Arabidopsis thaliana: one gene and its partner. The protein of the gene in region 2 interacts with the protein of the main gene of each other region in a pairwise test. Each region holds a gene or a part of one and is shown on either strand. Other genes may lie near its edges. The genes, in order: DWF1 and PERK15.

Region 1 (3,930 bases), on a different chromosome or scaffold from region 2:
GCGTGCTGGTAGAACCACGGCTTGAACCACCATCCCACATTGTTGATTTTGTTCCCTTTCTTCTTTGCCTCTTCTTTAGATGCATATGTTCCAACCATCATCACTCCTTCCGTTGGATTGTAAACCATGCCTTCGACGAAATCCGGGATTTTCGACTTGTCACCGTCTTTGGGAGCAAAAGAATCAATGTAACCTTGAGCTAAGGCTTGAAGATCACCCTTGACTGGTATGTAAGTGAGTCTCATGTACTCCTTGACTTTAATAAGCCTGATCTCAGCAGCTACAAGGAGTCCAAGAGTTCCTTGCGACCACGGGATTGCGTAGTAAAGATCAGAATACTCATTATCCCTTGTGGCGCGGACAAGCTCTCCACCCGCAAGAACAATCTCGTAAGCCTCAACGGTATCAGCAAACAAACCGTAGATGTGAGAGCTTCCTTCAATACCATATCCATTGATAAGTCCACCAACGGTAAGGTCATCAAGCTCAGCAACAACAGCGAGAGACAGGTTCATTGGGACGGTAGCACGGGAAATCTGTCCCATGTTAACAAGAGGCTCCACTCTAGCAGTCATCTTCTCCTTGTTGATCTCAAGGATGTTACGGAACTCCCCCAAGTCAACCTCGAAATGCCGGGCTCTCTTGTAGTCAACGTTCCTCATTCCAACAGCGATCCAGGGCTTACGAGCAGTGCAGACAAGCCCGTCCTTGGAAGCATCCCTACCCTTAAGCCTTTTGATGACTTTCTTGACATTCTCGTCGTGTTCCTTCTGACGTTTCTCAAAGGACTTGGACTCTGACCACATGTCCCCGAGGTAGATGAGGAAGTAGAATGTGGCTGAGAATGGAAGGACGATGAAGATGACAATGATCCATCTGAACTTGACAAAGTAATCAACCCAAGTCTTCTTCCTCTTGGGCCTCACAAGCGGTGTCTGAAGATCCGACATTTCCTCTCCTCACTGCATCAAACCAAAAAGAAAATCAAATCAACCAGAGTTTCAAAATCCATCACTGTAAAAGTCAACAAGGCCTAAGAAGTGAGCATAAATCTACCAGAATGTCAAAAATACTAAAGATTAGTTTCTTGAATCCAAAAAGAGTATAATAAGCACACATAAACACATACGTATACACACATGTGTATCAGTGTATGTGTATGAAATAAATCTGTAAGAAGAAGATAGTGTGGAGTCCATGGAAACAGAGAGCTAGTGAACAGAGAGACAAAAAGACATGAAGTTATGTTCTGAAAGAACAAGAACACAGAAAATGGTTATAATCTTTAGATCTACACATCTAGTATTCCTACAAAGCCATCAAAGTCTGTTTTCTACCACCAAAATAAATAAATAAAAGTTGGTGAGCAAAGTTTGAAACTTTGTTTGAAATTCTCCAAGACTGAGATGATTAAAATTAAAAAACCCACATAGTTCACTAGTGCGTGCTATGAAACAACTATGAACCAAGTACTGAGAGATCTAACGACAGGAAATGATAAGTCAGCGACTGAGACAGAGAGAGAAAGAGAGGTAGAGAGAGTACCTGAAGAATCCAAAGGAGAGAGAGAGTGAGAGGATGAGATGTGAAAGTGTCCCCAAGAGTGTGAGAGCATTTGTCTTTATAATAAAACGTGATTCAAGCCAGCCTGCTTCACTTGCATTTTTCGCTCAAAACAAGGTATTTTTTATTTCCCATTTTTTTATATAATTTTAAAATAAAAAAGGTAATAATAACGCAAAAATATAGAAATTAAGAAATATATAATGTATATTTTTCATGGGTTTGTATAAGTGGTTTTTCATATTTCTAAGTTTCTTTGTTGTTATCGCAATTAAAAATTCGATGTTAGTTGTAATGTTGATAAATCACATGTGTTATATTTATGAGCAATTTTTTAGTTTATAATTCTGATGTAAGAAAATAAAAATAAATTGTTTTTACTTATATCAGTATTTAATATATTTTTACCAACTCTTTTAACATTTAGAAATTATATGTAAATCGAACCTAGAGCTTAATTAGACATATCTTCCAAAATATAATTTCTTACTTAGCAGTTAGCATATAAAAGGAATATGAGGACAAATTCTTTGTAGGGATATTTTTTCTGAAAAGAGTTTACTGCTATAAATAGGTAAAAGCAAATAAATAAAAAAAGGCAACAAATCTTAGCAGTTTAAATTTCTTTTAAATAGAAAAATATATCTTTCTTTTGGTATGTAAATCACAATAAATTACAGGAAGACATGTGCCCAATGAAGGAAATGTAATTGTCCAATTCGTTTTTTTTTTAAATGCATTTTATGGGTTGATTGTATTGATTTTTGTTTTCTAAATGCTTTTAGCGAAACAGTCCTCCTACATGTTTGTTGATGTACCTAAAGCACATTCCATCCTCGTGAGGTTACTAAGCCGACGATCTTATATATTGTTTATTGGCAAAAAGTTCATTACAACTTTTCTTATCATAATAGTTATTACAACAATCTTTAACATTTAGTTTTGATATGTTATGATTGAAGCAAAAAAAGCACTGCCTAAAATATCTTGAAAACATTATACATTATGAATGCTAATGAGAGTTCCTTATATCTTTCTCTCAACTCTTAAGGGATCTTCAAATGAGTGTTTTTTTTAAGCCAAAACAATTGTGAATTAGTCATTCACTTTCATCTTATTCAGATTACAATGTAGTATTTTAGAAACTAATGTGTAGTAAAAAATTTTATATAAAATGCCTCTTATTTATATAAAAAAAAAAACTACGGCTGTGATGAGAAATGTTTTCCCAAATCCCAATAGCCATGCTTTTCATCAAAATTCATATATGAAATCATTTGTATCATTATCAGTGCCTACATAATACAGTAATAAACACACAAACTATCACGTTATTTGGTGAAAAAGGCTCTCAATATATAATTCTGTTACTGTAACCAATTATTTGATTTCCACCTAAGTATTTTAATAGTTGATTTAGAAAAGCAAATAAAATCATGATTTATTTAGAAAAATGGTTACACTTTAAAGTAATGAAGTGCTCAAAAAGTTTTTTTTGTCGCCAAAAAGTAATTATTTATTTATTTGACATAGAAAGAAAAAAAAAATTACAGGGATGATGGCCTGTCTGAGAAAATATCCAGCTCTTGCAAAATCTCTCATAAAATATATTTACTCTTTAAAATATGCCAACTAATTTCTTACTCACATTTACAGCTACAAATCATTTTTTTGTAGTATGGAAAAATAAATGTCTATTTGGCGAATCACACCTTTTGACATTGACAGTTTGACGTCAGTGAAAATTTGGTTGACGCTTGACAAAGTTTTAAACCGTTACAAGGTCGTGTAATCACACCAATGTTTACATTACAAGAAACACCAATTTGTTTATATATATATCCAAATACAAAGACATTACTCTTTGGTCCAACGCCAAATAAACCCATGCGTCATTTCTGCATCAACAAAAACCGTCTTTGTCCATTCCATTAGTACCTAAAAAAGTGTGAAGAAGCCAGAGACAACAACCCACATAAATTATGATTTGTTAAGATTGAAGCGTATTATGACTAAACACTTCTCTTGAAGTAAAAAAATTAAAAAAAAAAAAAAAGGTGAAAGAAAAAGACAAAAGAGAACGGAGAAACCGAAGAGAGGAGAGTTGAAGATAACAAATCTATAAACGAGGACTGTCCTACTCCCCACATGTGCCTGACGTGATCTCAACTCCTTCACGTGATTTCTCTTCCTCATTTTTTGTAATTTTATTACTAATTCTCCATTTTTTCTCACTTCTTATTAATCCCTTTTTATTATTCAAATTTTTGTTTTCTGCCACTTCCATTTTATTACTATTCTTGCTAAAAGAGAATGGAAAACAAAATCACTTTGTTTAATGCACCCACGATCCAGTTTTTATTTTAA
Region 2 (3,930 bases):
CCATTTTCTTGAATTTCTTCAAGTCTTCTTTGTATTGTGTTGAGCTATAATCTGAGCTCCCGTCTAAGCTGTAAATAGTACTTTGTCCTGGGGCAGCTCCTTCTGTTAGGTCATCTATAGATATATTTCCTTCGAATGCTCGAACTATCTGCAATTGTCCAAAGAACAATGACACCATTGAACTCACAAAGTTTCATTTTTTATCCTAGTGTTAGATTGAATGTTGCCAAAAGGTTTTGATGTGATAGTTAGTACCTGGCTCATTTTTGGGCGACGTTTAGCTGAATGACGGACACTAGCAGCAGCGCAAGCAACCATTCTCGTCATTTCGTTGATATCAAAATCATTCTCTAACCGCGGGTCAACAAGACCGTCAAAGTTTCCATCGTTTAACGCTTGTATCATCAGAGGTTTTGCCTAGAGCATGAGGTAAAGTTTAAAAGCTTATTAAAAGTGGTGGTAAGGGAAACAAGATAACCAACCCAATCAACGATGCTATCATCATCAGCAAAAGGCTGTGATTTATCAACAGGACGGCGTCCGGTTATCAGTTCAAGAAGCACCACTCCAATTGAGAAGACATCTGATTTCTCAGTAAGTTTCCCTGAAGAAGCATATTCAGGAGCCAAGTAACTGCATCACAAGAAAGAAGTTTAAAAGATTGTTAGTATGTTATGAACTTATTATGGTTATGGTTGCGTATAGAAAAGAGTGTTTCGTACCCGAAGGTTCCCATAATCCGAGTGGAGACATGAGTATCAGTGTCTAAAGAAGACCTGGCAAGTCCAAAATCTGCTAACTGATGAACCAAGTTCAGCATTATTAGTAGTGCAGTCTAAACAACATTTTTATATAGTTTTACAAGTTCAAGAATACCTTCGCCTCATAGCTATCGTCAATTAGAATATTTGCAGCCTTGACATCGCGGTGTATTGTCTTAGGATTACCTGAAACAAAACAAAATCTCCTTGACAAAAACTTCAGAAACTAATGTTGTACAATACTCAAAGACAAGAACATTATACTCACAATCTTCATGTAAGTATGCCAATCCTTTAGCTGCACCCAAAGCAATCTTCATCCTCTTTGACCACTCCATTACCGGTCTCTCTTTCTCTACAAAACAACCACCATAATTCAAACAAAACTGCGGGAATTCACGCAAGCATAACTGAAAACAAGTCTTTTAAAAAAAACTCACCGTGTAAATGAAATTCGAGAGTCTTATTAGGCACAAACTCATAAACAAGCAATCTTTGAGCACCAGTGATACAATAACCAAGAAGAGAAACAAGATGCCTATGATGAACTCTACTAATAGTCTGTATCTCAGCTTGAAACTCTCGTTCACCTTGTCCACTTCCAGATTTAAGCTGCTTAATAGCAACCAAAGTTCCATCAACAAGAACTCCTCTATGAACATAACCAAACCCACCTTGTCCAAGAAGGTTAGTGTTGGAGAAGTTACTAGTTGCTTTAGACAAATCTTCATATGTAAACAAGTTTTGTCCAATCTCTGATGAACTCCATTGCTGAAGATTATTGCTATCATCTACAAAAACAGAGGAATTGAATAATCATTAAAAAAAGATTGAGTCTTTGGAAATAAAGAAACCCTAAATAAAGTACCTTTGGGATCTAGTGAGTCTCTGTTAATAGAAGCTTCGATATCTTCTTTCTTCTTCTTCTTTAACTTCCTCTTCTTTCTTTTATAGAAACAGACAAAGATACAAACTCCGAGTAGGACAAACGTAGCTCCGAGAACTACTCCAGTAATAAGTCCAGTTAATGCTACATTTCTCGAGCCTCCATCAATGTTTGTTGTTGTCTCCGGAAACGGAGCCAACGAAGAAGGTCCGATGATGGATGGCTGAGACGGAGCTGGTGACGTCGCCGTGTCTGGTGTGGTGGAAGGAAACTCCGGCGCCGGTGGAGATGAGAGGGAAGGGATAGTGTCGGTAGACATTAGATCAGAAGATGATGAGGATGATTTGGTTTTTCAGGCGTGTGTGCAGGTTTTTCTCATGGCGGAAGTGAAGACGAAGACGAAGACGAAGAAGACGAAGACGAAGGAGAATGAAGAAAGGGACATGCGGTGGGTCCCGTCCCACTTGAGAGATTTGTTCTTCTGGCAAGTGTCTCTTTAATTCTCTCGTCACTCTGTTTCTCAGTTAGTCAGTTAACACTTACCAACCATCAAAAGAAGAACTAATAAAGAGCCAAATTCATCTTATGTTTTTTATTTAAAAATATAATCATTAAGTCAACATTTTTAAAATAATAAAATTTACTAATGATTTTTAGAATCTTTAAGAAAAATTTACCATATAAGTCAACTTTTTTGCTTTTTTTTTTTAAAAAAAAAATTTTAAAATTTTTATACACAATTTTTTATATGATTTTGGATGACTCGATACAATATGTCAAATTAGAACTTATTTTATACGGACTAAACTAGCCTATATTTTCAAGTTTGACTAATTTTAGAGAAAAACTAGTCCAGCCAAAAAAAATTAGTCTAGTAAATATTCAATTCGATCGGATTTTTTTGCAAAAAATAAAAAAATAAAAAATCGATGGAATCAAATTCCGACTTTCTAATCCACAGTAAAATTGTTTCGGAAAAATCCGATTTCATGAAAATAATTTTTAGATCTAATTTTTATGGTGTTTTTATAACTAAAATTTTTTTAAAACTATAAATCAAATTTATTTTGTAAAATTAATATTATAATGTATATAGTAAAATTATCTAATCAAATTTATACTTACTACTGTATAAAAACAAGCACGACTACATAAGTATATTCACATTGTCTTGTCTGCCATTAATTTTTTTGTCTTTAAAAGTAAAAAAGAATCAAAGGGACCAACAAAAGATATGAAAAAACATACTAGTACTACTATTTACCGTGATCTTTGGTTTGTGGATTGTATCTCTCCCTAAGGTACCCATCAAGTTGAGAATTATTGAATTCTTTGAACAACTAATTCCACATCATTTTCCAAGTATTGTATCTTGGTATATGCATTCTCCTTCTATTTTTTGTTTGCTCAATAAATTGTACGCGGTGAAGCCAGCCAGATACCCGGTTTATTAACCAATCCTATGCTTCCGGAGTTTTTTTTATGTTAATCATTTACATAATAAAAAGAAAAACAATTAATGTGGTAGGGTACGGACGACAAGTAGGTAATCAATGGAAGCAATTATCAGGAACCATATATATTTGACAGAAGAAATATAATAACCGAAAACAATTACGTTTTCACAAGGAAAAACACAAAACGAAATCTCATCCAACAATGTTTTCAAGACAAAATCTGTGAATCAAGGATTACTAATAATGGAAATCCATTGCTTTGTTATGCATCAAAAAAATTTATATAGATTTGGCAATGCAATCTCAAGATCATTTTAATGATAAGGTTAATTGGGAAAAATAATCGTATTTGTCTTTGGTACGAATAGAAACCAAAACAACTTCGAATTAAACCATATCAAATTTCAAGTCACAGCTCAATAGTAAATTGCAAAACAGCAAACAACACGAACCATTTTGTGATAACCAAGAGTCAACAAAGAAATGCATTTTTTTTTTTCTTGGGTTTCACACAATGGTTGTTTTTGTTGGTTCTTTATAGGTTGAGTTATGCAAAATAATTTTTGTTACGTTCAAAACGAGGAAGAAAAAAAAAATTAGGTGTGGTGTGGTTCAAAGAATTGTCATCCAGTGTTAAAAAAACATTTTTTACATAAGTTTTTGTAGAATATTTGAGAAATTTCATTTTTAGAATATCCATTTTCAAAACTACTCTTACCTTTTATACATTATTCTACTTCGCTTGTTCAAAACTAATCACACCCTATTATTTAATCCGCTTATTCTACAATTCGCTTCGCTATCACTAGATCAAATGTATTTTAGG

Evidence for each region.
Region 1: the proteins of PERK15 (region 2) and DWF1 interact in a protein complementation assay, tested with the Arabidopsis thaliana proteins (one large-scale study listed by BioGRID).

Annotation. Positions count from the first base shown.
Region 1 is NC_003074.8:6,880,667-6,884,596, forward strand, and holds the start of DWF1 (cell elongation protein / DWARF1 / DIMINUTO (DIM)), read right to left. Parts: upstream 1,650-3,930; 5' UTR 1,546-1,649; exon of another isoform or gene 963-1,545; 5' UTR 951-962; coding exon 1-950. UniProt on the Arabidopsis thaliana protein: Plays a critical role in the general process of plant cell elongation. Involved in the synthesis of campesterol, an early precursor of brassinolide.
Region 2 is NC_003070.9:19,470,397-19,474,326, forward strand, and holds the start of PERK15 (Protein kinase superfamily protein), read right to left. Parts: upstream 2,187-3,930; 5' UTR 1,967-2,186; coding exon 1,630-1,966; intron 1,553-1,629; coding exon 1,202-1,552; intron 1,117-1,201; coding exon 1,030-1,116; intron 948-1,029; coding exon 877-947; intron 800-876; coding exon 723-799; intron 634-722; coding exon 483-633; coding exon of another isoform or gene 418-482; coding exon 256-417; intron 149-255; coding exon 1-148.